Arabidopsis thaliana: one gene and its partners. The protein of the gene in region 2 interacts with the protein of the main gene of each other region in a pairwise test. Each region holds a gene or a part of one and is shown on either strand. Other genes may lie near its edges. The genes, in order: FBP7, AT4G13530 and AT3G61180.

Evidence for each region.
Region 1: the proteins of AT4G13530 (region 2) and FBP7 interact in a protein complementation assay, tested with the Arabidopsis thaliana proteins (one large-scale study listed by BioGRID).
Region 3: the proteins of AT4G13530 (region 2) and AT3G61180 interact in a protein complementation assay, tested with the Arabidopsis thaliana proteins (one large-scale study listed by BioGRID).

What each region holds. Positions count from the first base shown.
Region 1 is NC_003070.9:7,647,237-7,650,992, reverse strand, and holds the start of FBP7 (F-box protein 7), read right to left. Parts: upstream 1,800-3,756; 5' UTR 1,670-1,799; coding exon 1,660-1,669; exon of another isoform or gene 1,482-1,659; coding exon of another isoform or gene 1,472-1,481; intron 1,274-1,471; coding exon 1,190-1,273; intron 1,098-1,189; coding exon 985-1,097; intron 891-984; coding exon 677-890; intron 543-676; coding exon 469-542; intron 375-468; coding exon 321-374; intron 226-320; coding exon 118-225; intron 30-117; coding exon 1-29. Other genes in the region: PDIL1-1 (PDI-like 1-1), read right to left, coding at 2,479-2,688, 2,765-2,877, 2,969-3,206, 3,303-3,440, 3,752-3,756.
Region 2 is NC_003075.7:7,864,234-7,867,989, reverse strand, and holds the start of AT4G13530 (uncharacterized protein), read right to left. Parts: upstream 1,663-3,756; 5' UTR 1,183-1,662; coding exon 496-1,182; intron 1-495. Other genes in the region: SMAP1 (small acidic protein 1), read right to left, coding at 3,340-3,528.
Region 3 is NC_003074.8:22,643,521-22,647,276, reverse strand, and holds the start of AT3G61180 (RING/U-box superfamily protein), read right to left. Parts: upstream 1,786-3,756; 5' UTR 1,598-1,785; coding exon 1,053-1,597; intron 853-1,052; coding exon 733-852; intron 638-732; coding exon 505-637; intron 424-504; coding exon 259-423; intron 164-258; coding exon 1-163. Other genes in the region: LCR53 (low-molecular-weight cysteine-rich 53), read left to right, coding at 2,486-2,534, 2,629-2,807.

The DNA of each region.
Region 1 (3,756 bases), on a different chromosome or scaffold from region 2:
GTCCCTGGGTACAGAACAGCTGCTTCGATCTGCAAAAAGAACATGTTTTTCAGTAATCAGGATTATGAAGATGTAATGTTGTTGATTACCAGCCAAAAGGCAGTAGAGGGAGCTAACCTTATCATCCGACATTGACAGTGTATAAGTGCCTTTGTAAAGATTTTCAGATTTAGAAGCCTTAAAGTTCATGTACTTGGCAACATCCTTCAATTTCTGTGAAGAGTTCTGAAGGAATAACAACAAATACGGATGGATCATTATCAGACTAGATCCCACCAGTAGCTCAACGTTTATACCTACTTATATCGAAGAGTGCAAACCTTGTAAAGAAATCTGCCAGAAGGGTAGAACCTTATGTAGCGGTAGTAACAAACCTGCAACAAATTTTCCAAAAGAAGACGCAGATTATTATATGTGTCTGTATTGGACAGATGAAGAAGAAAAGAAAGAAAAAGACAAAGACTTTACAATGTGAACTGGATTTGTAATCTTCCACTCAGCAATTCCAGCTCGAATGTAAGTATTCCTACTCACATAAAGACCTGAGAAGAAGATACATAGTTACTTTAATCAATAAAGATATAACAAGACACGATGTTAGTCAGAGCATACAAAAGAAAACAATCACTTGGCGCTAGAATGTCGTGAAGCAAGAGGATGAAGAAAGAAAGATTACCATCAGTACGAACTCTGGATCTAAGAAGCCACATTTTCCTCCATGATCCATCATATTTAGACTGCAAGATCTTATAGTTTTCGATAACCCCAGCAGTCTGCCAAGCTTTCAAGCAGGCATTACGCCAGAACATAGGGTTTCGAACTGTGTACCTCCACTTTCTACAAACACAAGATGCTCTACCTAAGTCATAAGGCATCATCCGAGCAAACACCTACAAGTAACATATCCAAGAATCAACTTCTCCAGTACATAAGAAAAACAAATTTCAGTACAATGACAAAACATAGTATAAAGAAAGCTCCAACCTCGAAAAGAAGCTCATCAGGCAAGCAACGATGAATCAAAGCTGGATCAAAATGAGGTTTACGGCTTGTACTTCCGAATGGTGGCACAGGCCTCACATGGACTCCATAAAGATCTGTAAAATGTAACTCATTACAAACCATAAACCCAATTCTTGATAAGATGAAAACAGACAAGAGAATGAGTGTTAAATGATTAGAGATGTACCAAGCCAAGGCCTTTTTGTAATAAAGTATTGTACAGTCCTGAGCCGCAAGGCAGATTCAAGCTCAGATGGTATAGTGAGAGCATCTGTGACAAACAAGCACCAATGAAATCAAGTTTCTTTCTTTCACAAAAGAATCAATAAATAGCTCACAATTTCACCTTGAAACTCAGTGATAGCATCAATACAAGTTCAATATGAATAAATTAAAAACCTTTCGTTTCTCAATTTTGTAATTGAACACATTCACGAGACTACCAGATCAATCTCTAAATTATTTTCACCTCCAATCATACGAGTTTCGAAGGATACTCAAAGCCAAACGGTTCCCATCATAATGATTTTTGAATGAAAATATAGAGAAAGTTTAATCAACAGAGAAAATTTCTCAAAATTGATCTGTTCTCGGTGTCATGTATTGATCTGATTCAATTCGTCAAAATTAATAAAATTGAATCCAAGATTGCAATACCTGAAGTCATGGAAACTGAGAGACGATTTGAAAATACAGCGATTTCGTAGCCGCCCGTGCGAGCTCCCTGTTACCGGGAAAAAAAAAGAAGAAGATAGAAACAGAGACTCTTTCTCTGTCTTTTTTTTAATATTATTTTATTGTTTTCTCGAGGTTCACAAAATTCAGACAAACAACGAAACCGACATTTCTGAGTTAAATCAGTTCAAGGTCGGTTTCAATATCTTTAACCAATTGGTTTAGTTTAACTGTTTCTCGTTCTTCCATTAGATTGTTTAGTGAAAAAACTGAAAGTATTAGGACCAAAAAAGGAACAAGCATGTTGAACAAGTCAATAAAATTGTAAATGTTGATAAACGCTTGGACAGTAAAAGTAACGTTTGATCTCCTCGACGATCTGCTTGAGTTTCCTTTCTCTCATACTTTCCTCAACAACCAAATTAGCCTTTTGTTTTCTTTTCAAATAGTGGAACCAATTAAGAGTCAACTAGTATATTATCTTGGTATATGCTTCAGAATTAATATATTTTTAGTGTTAGAACTCGTCCCAAGAAATGCCTCAAAAACTATATTAAAGGAGAACTGAATTCAAACAAAAAAAGGTAACATCAACCAAAAAAAAGAAAAGGAGGCAGCCATTATTGTTCTGAAGAGTGCACATATAAAAACCTAATGAATAGATAAAGAGATTCTCTCTGTCTGTCTGTCGTCTCTCTCTCTCTGTCTCTCAGTCTACTCAATGCTCTGTCTTCTTCTGTGTATTTTCCTCAAAACTACCAAACTAAGCTAGCAGCTAAGAGACACAACACACTTCTCTTTTCAGAGCTCATCCTTGACTTCCTCAGTTGTCTCTTCCTCCTTCTTAGGCTCTCCAACTGTGTCCTTGTTCTTGTCGACGAAGCTTATGAAATCTTCCTTTGTCCTGTCTCCTTCGTAAACCACAACGTTTCCGCTCGCTGATTTGAAGTAAATGGTCGGGAATCCCTTCACATCAAAGGTATCTTTTGGGAAGTCGTTTGCGGTTGCATCCTGGACAAGTGAAAGAGTAAGAATCCGGTGATCAAGAACAAATACTCTCAAATGTGAAGAAAGAGAAAGGACTTACTAGCTTAGCGATGACTACACTTGAGTCGCTTTGGTACGACACAGCAACTTCGTCCAAGATTGGAGCAAGCTTTTGGCAGTGTCCACACCATGGAGCATAGAATTCAAGCAAAACTGCAAGTAAATAGGAGGAATGAAAACTGATTTATAAGTTTTTGCTACGAGCAAACAGGTATTTGTGATTTAACAATGTAAAGTAACTCACCGTTCTTTCCAGAGTTTAAGACAATGTCGTCAAGGCTGTCAGAAACAACAACCTTCACTGGCTCGTTGTTTTCGGCTGGGATAGGTTGAGATTTTTTGTGGGGAGCAATTTTTCCATCCTTGAAGTCCTTGACCCATGATTCAATCTGGTCAACCTCAACATTTGTTTTCAGGTATTTCTTGTCGTCAGCAGTCTGGATGATGATGAGAGGAACTTGGCTCTCTTCGAGTCCAAAGTACTGTTAATGGTTTAGAAAGGAGAGAAATGTGTTCAGCAATTTGAAACCAATGCTACCTTGGAGATAAACGATTGAAGATAGAAGAATAAGACTAACCTGGAATGCACCTTGGCTGTTCTCAGCATCACCTAGAAGGAAGCTAAGACCCTGTCCCTTGTTGGATGTAGCAACTTCACGGTACTTTGATTTAAGAGACTCAGCTCCTTCTCCAGTGAAGTTAATGAACAACATCGCCTGAAAATCAAAATATTGCAGAGACTGAGGATTCTTGAAGCTTTTACTGAGAATATTCAAAAAGTAAATTATAGACACTAGAGTCCGACTCAGCTAATATGGCACACACTCGCAGCTCCTTCCATAGCCATAACATAATTTAGTACGAAATATCAACTTTTACAAATAAACTCATTTCAGAATTTTCATAAATTTAAACATAATTCTCCAGTAAAATTAAATGGCATAATATGAATCCATCTATGTAGTATATCATGAACTGGTTACAGCATAATGGAATTGAGATATTTGATAACTCTAGGATGAGTTACCTTGG
Region 2 (3,756 bases):
CAAAATGTAAAAATAAAAAATATGTTGTTTAAGCATTATAGGAGATGAAACAACAGAGAGGACGGACAAAGAAATAGATCACCCAGGTGGTATTCTAACGACTATTAACACTGCTCTCACCAACTACACATTCTATGCCAAAAGTATCTATCAAGAACTCAACCGATGCAGTGGTGCTATATCAAAAACCCTTAGCAAGATAGTGTAAATGGGTACGAGTGTATGCCTGTTGGTGAATACTATGACCTCGAGTCGCTGGTTGCATCTAAACTACTTAGCAACAAGAAACTGGTCCCAGGACAAACAAGGGGATGATCTGATCTTCTCATTTTCCCCATCAAAACAACAATTGACACTAATAAAACATCTAACTAAGCAGTAAAAGTTGAACTAAGCAGAGCTCATATCACACCAAAAGATCATACAGTAACCACATGACTCATGAATCAACATACTCAAAGAACAATAAACAATCAAATAAACCAAGCTAGTTACCTTATCATCCAAAAGAACCTTAAGCTGCAAGGAACGAGTCTTCTTCTTCATATTGTACAATCTACGCCCTAACATAACAAAACCCACAAATGCTGCAGCCATGGACAAAGACCAAATAGGATTAATTTTCAACACACAATACTTCAACACCTCTATTGGAATTTTCCACCACACAAACCCTTTCTCTTCTCCTCCTCCACCACCAGATTTAACACCAGGATCAATAGAAACAGAGTTTCCTTCTCCTTCCACTGGATGAAGTAAAGATTCTTCCTTTCTCTCATCAGAGCTTATCAAATCCATGTCTTGAGCTATACTTTCACTATATTCAACAATACCCACTTCGTTTCTCTCTATACCCATCTCGTTATTCACATCATCATCCACTAACCTCTGATCATCAAGCCGATCACTGCTTGAATCAGACCATAACTCACTAAAATGCTTCGGACCATAAGGAACATCGGAGCTAGGTTCGATCCATCCTGGACTACCCGATTGAACAGACCCATCTTCATCGTTTGCCTCCAAACGAGACAAACCACTCTGGTTCTCAAGAGAGAAATGATCAAACCTAATCATACCTTGCGTGCCATCATCAATCTCCTCCAAGCTCCTCGAATTGTCATCTTCCGTGGTAGATCTCGAGCTCTGAAGTATTTCCCAGTCTTGAATCTCTCCTTCCATGTCAAAGTTAGGGGTTTTTTCGATCCAATTGAGGAAAAGAAACAAAAGGAGTCTTTGTGTTGGGGCGAAAACAGAACCGAAACGCTTCTTTCTCTGTGTGGAGATCACAGAAACACTAGGTCGTGGTGTTAACGTGGCGTGGTGTGATTGGATAGAGGATGAAGTCAAAAGAGTGGTTTCGTTGACGTGTGGGTTTATGATAACTATATGGATTGACAGTGTATGTTGTTACGGTGGGCCGAGAAGTAGAGGACCTTCAACCGCTTTTGCTAATCAGATATGCTCAACTTGAAACTGGAGGGAGAGGAAGCAAACACGTCATATAAATGCATTTTGTGAAGAACATCATAATTTATTGATACCGAACCAAATCCAATAGAATGTATTTTTACTTTTTACTATTTTACTTTTCGTTTTTTTACTTGTTTTTTCTCGTTCAAATTAGGTGATCGATGAATTGATAATTTAATTGTAATCCGCGTAATTCATATTCCTTCGGTTCTATTTTGTTGATTTTGAAGAAAAAAAAAATTGTTTCAAAAAAATTGATTTTTTAAAATTTTTATGTAATATTTATTAGTTTTTATTAATGAATTGTAAACTTTAATAAAAATAATTAAATTTTATTGGTTTAAAGTGATAGAAAATTGTAAAACACAAAATATAATATATTTAAAATCAACTTTAATATATTTACTTTTGTGTGTTTTTTTCTAACAATCAAACAAAAAAAACAGAGAAAATATTTATTTATTTTTGCTAAGAAACATAGGAAATATTTAATATTAATCGAAACCCAACTTTTTTTTCAATAAATGTTTAGCGTTAATATCATAGTTTAACAAACATTCTTTTTTATAACTCAAAATTTTAGAGTTTAGTCATTAAACCAAGATGTGGAGATTTTATAAAGGTTGAGGTAGGGAGGAGAAGAAAGTTAAGAGGCTCATGGATGGTGGCTTGCAGAGATTTGGGAGTTTTTGAGAGAGTTGATGACGTGGCAACTTGAGAACACATTTGTTAAAAGGCTGAGGTGGGTAGTGTGAGAGGCCTCAAATAACTTTTTTTTTATTAGTAAGAGATTCTGAAAAGAGGTTACCGATATCTAATGAATTGCTATCGAATGTTGAAATCTCATGAAATTTGGCTACACTACATACATACGACTATAAGGCAAGTAACAAAGACTGCTAGGGACTGACAAAGTGACAAGTGACATCTTTATGCTTAGCCTCCTTTTCCTTTCTACCATAGTTGAACATCAAGCACATTATTTCCATCTCAAAACCGGCCCAGAGAATATAATATGACACGATGCAACAACAGAACTTGGCCAGGGGAATTATACACCCCCTCCTACATACCACAAGACAGGAATTATACACCCCCTCCCACATACCACAATACAACACACATTCAGAGACCACGAGATGGTGAATTTACAAGAAATCAACATGGAACAAGATACCATATCCATATAAATCATTGACTGATGTATCTGAGTTACATGGAAGATACAAGAGACTATTTCTCTTAGGCCATTAAATTGTTGGTAGGAATATGTGCTTCAGTATGAGTTCCCTAGTTCACTTAATCACTAGTGGAAAGTTACAGCTTACATGAGGATTTCATCTCTCACCGGGAAGTTTCTCTAGACCCGGTGAGTCACATGAATATCAACACAATGAAACACATCAACACATATTTCAGAGACCTCAGATGTTGAAATTACAAGCAATCACAATGGAATATGGTACCAAATGAATCAATTAGTTTCTATCTTAAGCCAATATCAATAACTTTCACATTCTTCACATACAAATTCACAACATTCTTCACATACAAAGACTCTAATTTTCAGTTACTAAAATACCAAAACACTAAAGAAAATTAGGTTTCAATCTCCAAAAAACATCATCATCTCCAGAACCAAGGAAAAAAAAAACATTCTAAATTTGAGCCAAAAAAAACAATCAGACAAAGCACAATAACACACAAATCAAATGTTTTAGTAATCCAAATGAAGAAAAACATTGTTACATACCACAAACATAAAAATCCCAGAACTTATTACACACTTACTACATAGGTTTCTCCACAAATTACATCAAGTTTAGGAAAAAAAACTGAAATCTTAAAGAGGAAACTTAACCGGATTTAGTTGATATCGGTGTCATCGAAATCATCATCGAATTTGTTGAAGAAATCGGCGTCGGCGAGCTTGTTATCTGAGACAAGTCCTCCTTCGTTGAGTATCTCCATGGCTTCGAGGTCATCAACGTCCATGGCCATCGAAGAACCTGCATCATCCATCTCCGATAACATATCCAGCTGCATCGGCCTCATTTCTCTCTTCGTCTCTTCTTCGTTTTCTTCTTCGGGAAAGATCTAAAATGTTACAGTGACTGACTGTCGAAGTTTTGATGTTGAGGTCATTTTCTTTTAGGCCTAAATGTTGTGGCCCATCTTTATCTTCTTAGGCCCAATTGATGTGGCCCATGTTAATTTTAATCGTTCATTTTTCGTAGTGATTTTTAGCTGAATCTGTGGATTTTTTTTTTTTTTTTTAAGATA
Region 3 (3,756 bases), on a different chromosome or scaffold from region 2:
TGCCACTAGGTTCACCATTTTTGAGGATATTGAATTTGCAGAGAGGGCAAGTAGCGTTGATCCTTAGCCATTTGTCTACACATAAACTGTGAAAATGGTGTCTACAAGGAAGCTCCCTTAGTTCTACTCCATCTTCATAAGCACATAGACAAATGCTGCATTCCTGCAATGGTTTTTTTTTTCCGGTTTTGCTAAAGTCAGTTCAGTGTCTTTATCCAAATTCGATAGAAAATGGGAGATTTGATTATGGTTACTTACAGCATCTTCGCTTAATAACATACGTTCGGTTTGAGACTCGGTATCTAATCCAGTCATTATCCCTCCTTGAGTTTCCCGTATTTCGCCATTCACTTTCTCAGAATTCTTTACTGTGAGAAACTTGAATTTTAAAAGCCTCTCTATCTCTTCATCCGGTGCACCTTCCTGAAATTTACAAATCGCTTAATAGGATTCACCAAGAAACATGAGACTCATTTGTTCTTCATCATCATAATGTTTCTTTACCTGATCTGCTAATGCGTACAAGATCGCAATGATGCAAGGTAAACAGCAACAAACAGCAATACCAATAAGACTAGCAACCGCTACGCAAATGACAACAAACATAACATCAAACGCAAGGAATGCAACACAGAGCCTGCAAAACACACAAGAAACAAAGATTAAATAAATCACAGAAACAAACTCTTGAGAATACAAAATCACAACAGCCAACTTTTGTTAGAAACAAACCAGTAGAGTTGTGGCGAAGATTGAGCTAGTGCCTCGGTATCAGCCGTCACCCAGTAAAACCCGATGATCCACCACACAAAAGAGAACATGGTATTCGCAGATTCAAGGTGCTTAGTGAAACTAGAATAGGAAACAAACCACATGAGAGTAGATCAATGGGAAACAGTTCTCATTCAGTTCTTTATTTCTATACAATCCTAAAAGTTTCCTTCAACCTAACATGGCTCTGAATTCTAAGCTAGTATAAGTCTATCACAAGAACCAACATTGCTCTGAATCTAAGCTAGTATAATGCTGTAGCCATAAGAAAGAAATTGAACCTAGTTCCATGGTCATCATCATCAGTGTTGTTAATGCTATAGCCATCAGATTCATCTTCACTTCCGCTAAGAGACTCGTGATTGGAGGAATCTTCACCACTAGGAGGAGGAGAATTAGCAACACGGCGACGTTTATACTCAGCAATGACACATCCAACATGAAACAAACACTGAACATTATACCCAATGATCCACAACCTAAGAGGAACATCAGGATCTTCATCAGAACTAAACCCTAGAATCGCGATTGAAACAATCACAAATAGGAAATTCCAAAGTATATCGAGAACTATAATGGGTTTAGAGTAAGCCCATTGACTCTGCCGTTCCTCAAGCTGCTCAGCCGCCACCTCACGGACTCGAACGGAGGGCTCACGGAGCATCATCCGGCGGTTGCTAGCACGGCGGAGAAGTCTCGACGCCGCGCCACGAATCGGCTGAGAGGACCGTGGGCGGTTACGTCTGTTCCGGCCAAGAAGCGGCGAAGCGTCCATCGTATCAGTCGTCGGAGAAGAAGATACGGTAGAAGGGATCGATTGATTCATCAATTAGAAAGATTGGATCTTGGGTAATCGGGTTGATCCAGAATCTCGATGGATCGGGTTTGAATTCGCTGGAAATCTGTCGACTTTGCGGGGTGGATGATTCTAGGTTTCGAGGACCAGTTTCTATCTAATGGATAATTGACAAAACGACAAGAGAATGTCTTGTCCCCAATAAACGTTTTGATATCATGAGACTACAGTAGTTTTATTCTTCCGGGAAATTCTAAAAAAATACATAAACTTAATGTAGTTGCTCAAATCTTTTTATTTTCCAAAAGGACTTTTTATATTTTTGCTAACATTTTTTGTACCCCCACAATTTGTGTTATGTTAAGTTTATATCTAAATTATATCATTGTAGTAGACATACTTTATTTTCGAGGTTTAAGGCTCAATTCAATATCTAAATTTTGAGAGTTTAAACTCCAAATATGCGTATTATAGTTAGAAGGGGATTATTTGATGGATCCTTACAACTTATTTTTTAAAGATTAATCCAACTTATTGTACATGAAAATCAGAATTGTAAGATAATTAACTGGATTTTATTTACATATATTTTATAGATAAAAATCTATGAGAATGCACCTTGGACCATTCAATGTATTACAAATTTTAAAATTATTAGTTGTATATATAAGAGAAGCTCTCTTATTTAATTTTATTTTAATTGATTTTGTAAATATCCTTCCTATGTTTATATATTTTATGATTTTGTTTCCATTCCCACCATCTAAATAACTATTTATTTATTGATTTTGTCTACTTTTTTTTATTCATGTACATACTATATGTATATATTTAATTTCTTTTATATATATATAATGATATTCACATCTATATTATCATCAACATTTCTGGTTTTTTACTCTAAAATTTTTATCAAAGATGGCTAAATCCACCATATTCGCTATTTTCATGATCGTCTTCGTTCTAGGTTTGCGTTACATATACCATTCTTTAAAACATTTAATACATCTTTTTGGTTCTATGAAGATTGTGTTTAAAGCTTATGTTTTAATATTTGTTAGGGATGGTAACGAAAGAGACGAAAGGACAAGAAATGTGTCGTGATCTTTTAATGAGAGCTAAAAACTGTGACGATAGCACTTGTGCTACTCTGTGTAAGCAAAAATGGAAAGGAAATGGATCGTGCTTCCCAAACGTATATAGAAAAAGCTGCCTCTGCACATTTCCTTGCAAAACTTGAACTCTTACAAAGTCAAATTGTAATTTATAATAGTAATAAAATAATGATAATAAAACTAATGATAATGACAATGTCACAATGATAATGACATGAAATAAAATTAAACTTACACAATGTCTTATATTATTATATAAATTCTGATTTCATTTTCTTATTTCACATGAACTATAAGCTACTACTTGAGCATATGAGCTTCACAGGGATGGATCATGGATATAACAATTATTTTACAAAATTAAAACATTGGTATATTTGAAACAAAAGTCTTAAAAACACATGAATGAAAGCGGAATGAATAATCTTAGTTATTCCTTATCTAAATTAAAAACATATACATATTCATTAACTAAATAAAATCTGACCTACCAAAAAAAAAACAAAATCAAATCCAATGGTTTTGATGTTGGGCAAGAAACAGGAAATCTAGTTACAAAAAAGAGGTTTTCTTTCATATCTTATTGTTGAATTAGATGGCATTTAAATCAAAAGTTTATCTCATTCTAAAAGTGTTATTTGAATTCAATTCTATTTATATTTGAACAGATTACTTTCTAAAACACTTACTTCCATTCTCACTATCTCTTGACTTGTCCATCTTATGAATATACAGTTTATTTGGATTTTTATTTTCTTTCTAATTAATATACTTGAATGCTTTCCAAATCAAATGCGTCCAACTTTTTTTTCTATTAGGATTGATTGTATATTAGACACGTAGACACACAACTTCACACATATATATAAAGATGATATTTACAAGTCACATATATTACAAAAACCCTCATTTGGTTTAAGATATTAAAAGAACTTCAAATCCTTTTTTTATAGATAAATATCAATGAGAATGCAATTTGGACCATTCAATATATTACAAAATTTAAATTATATATATATAAAGCTCTCTTATTTTATTTAATTTTTATTGATTTTTGTAAATATCCTTCCTATG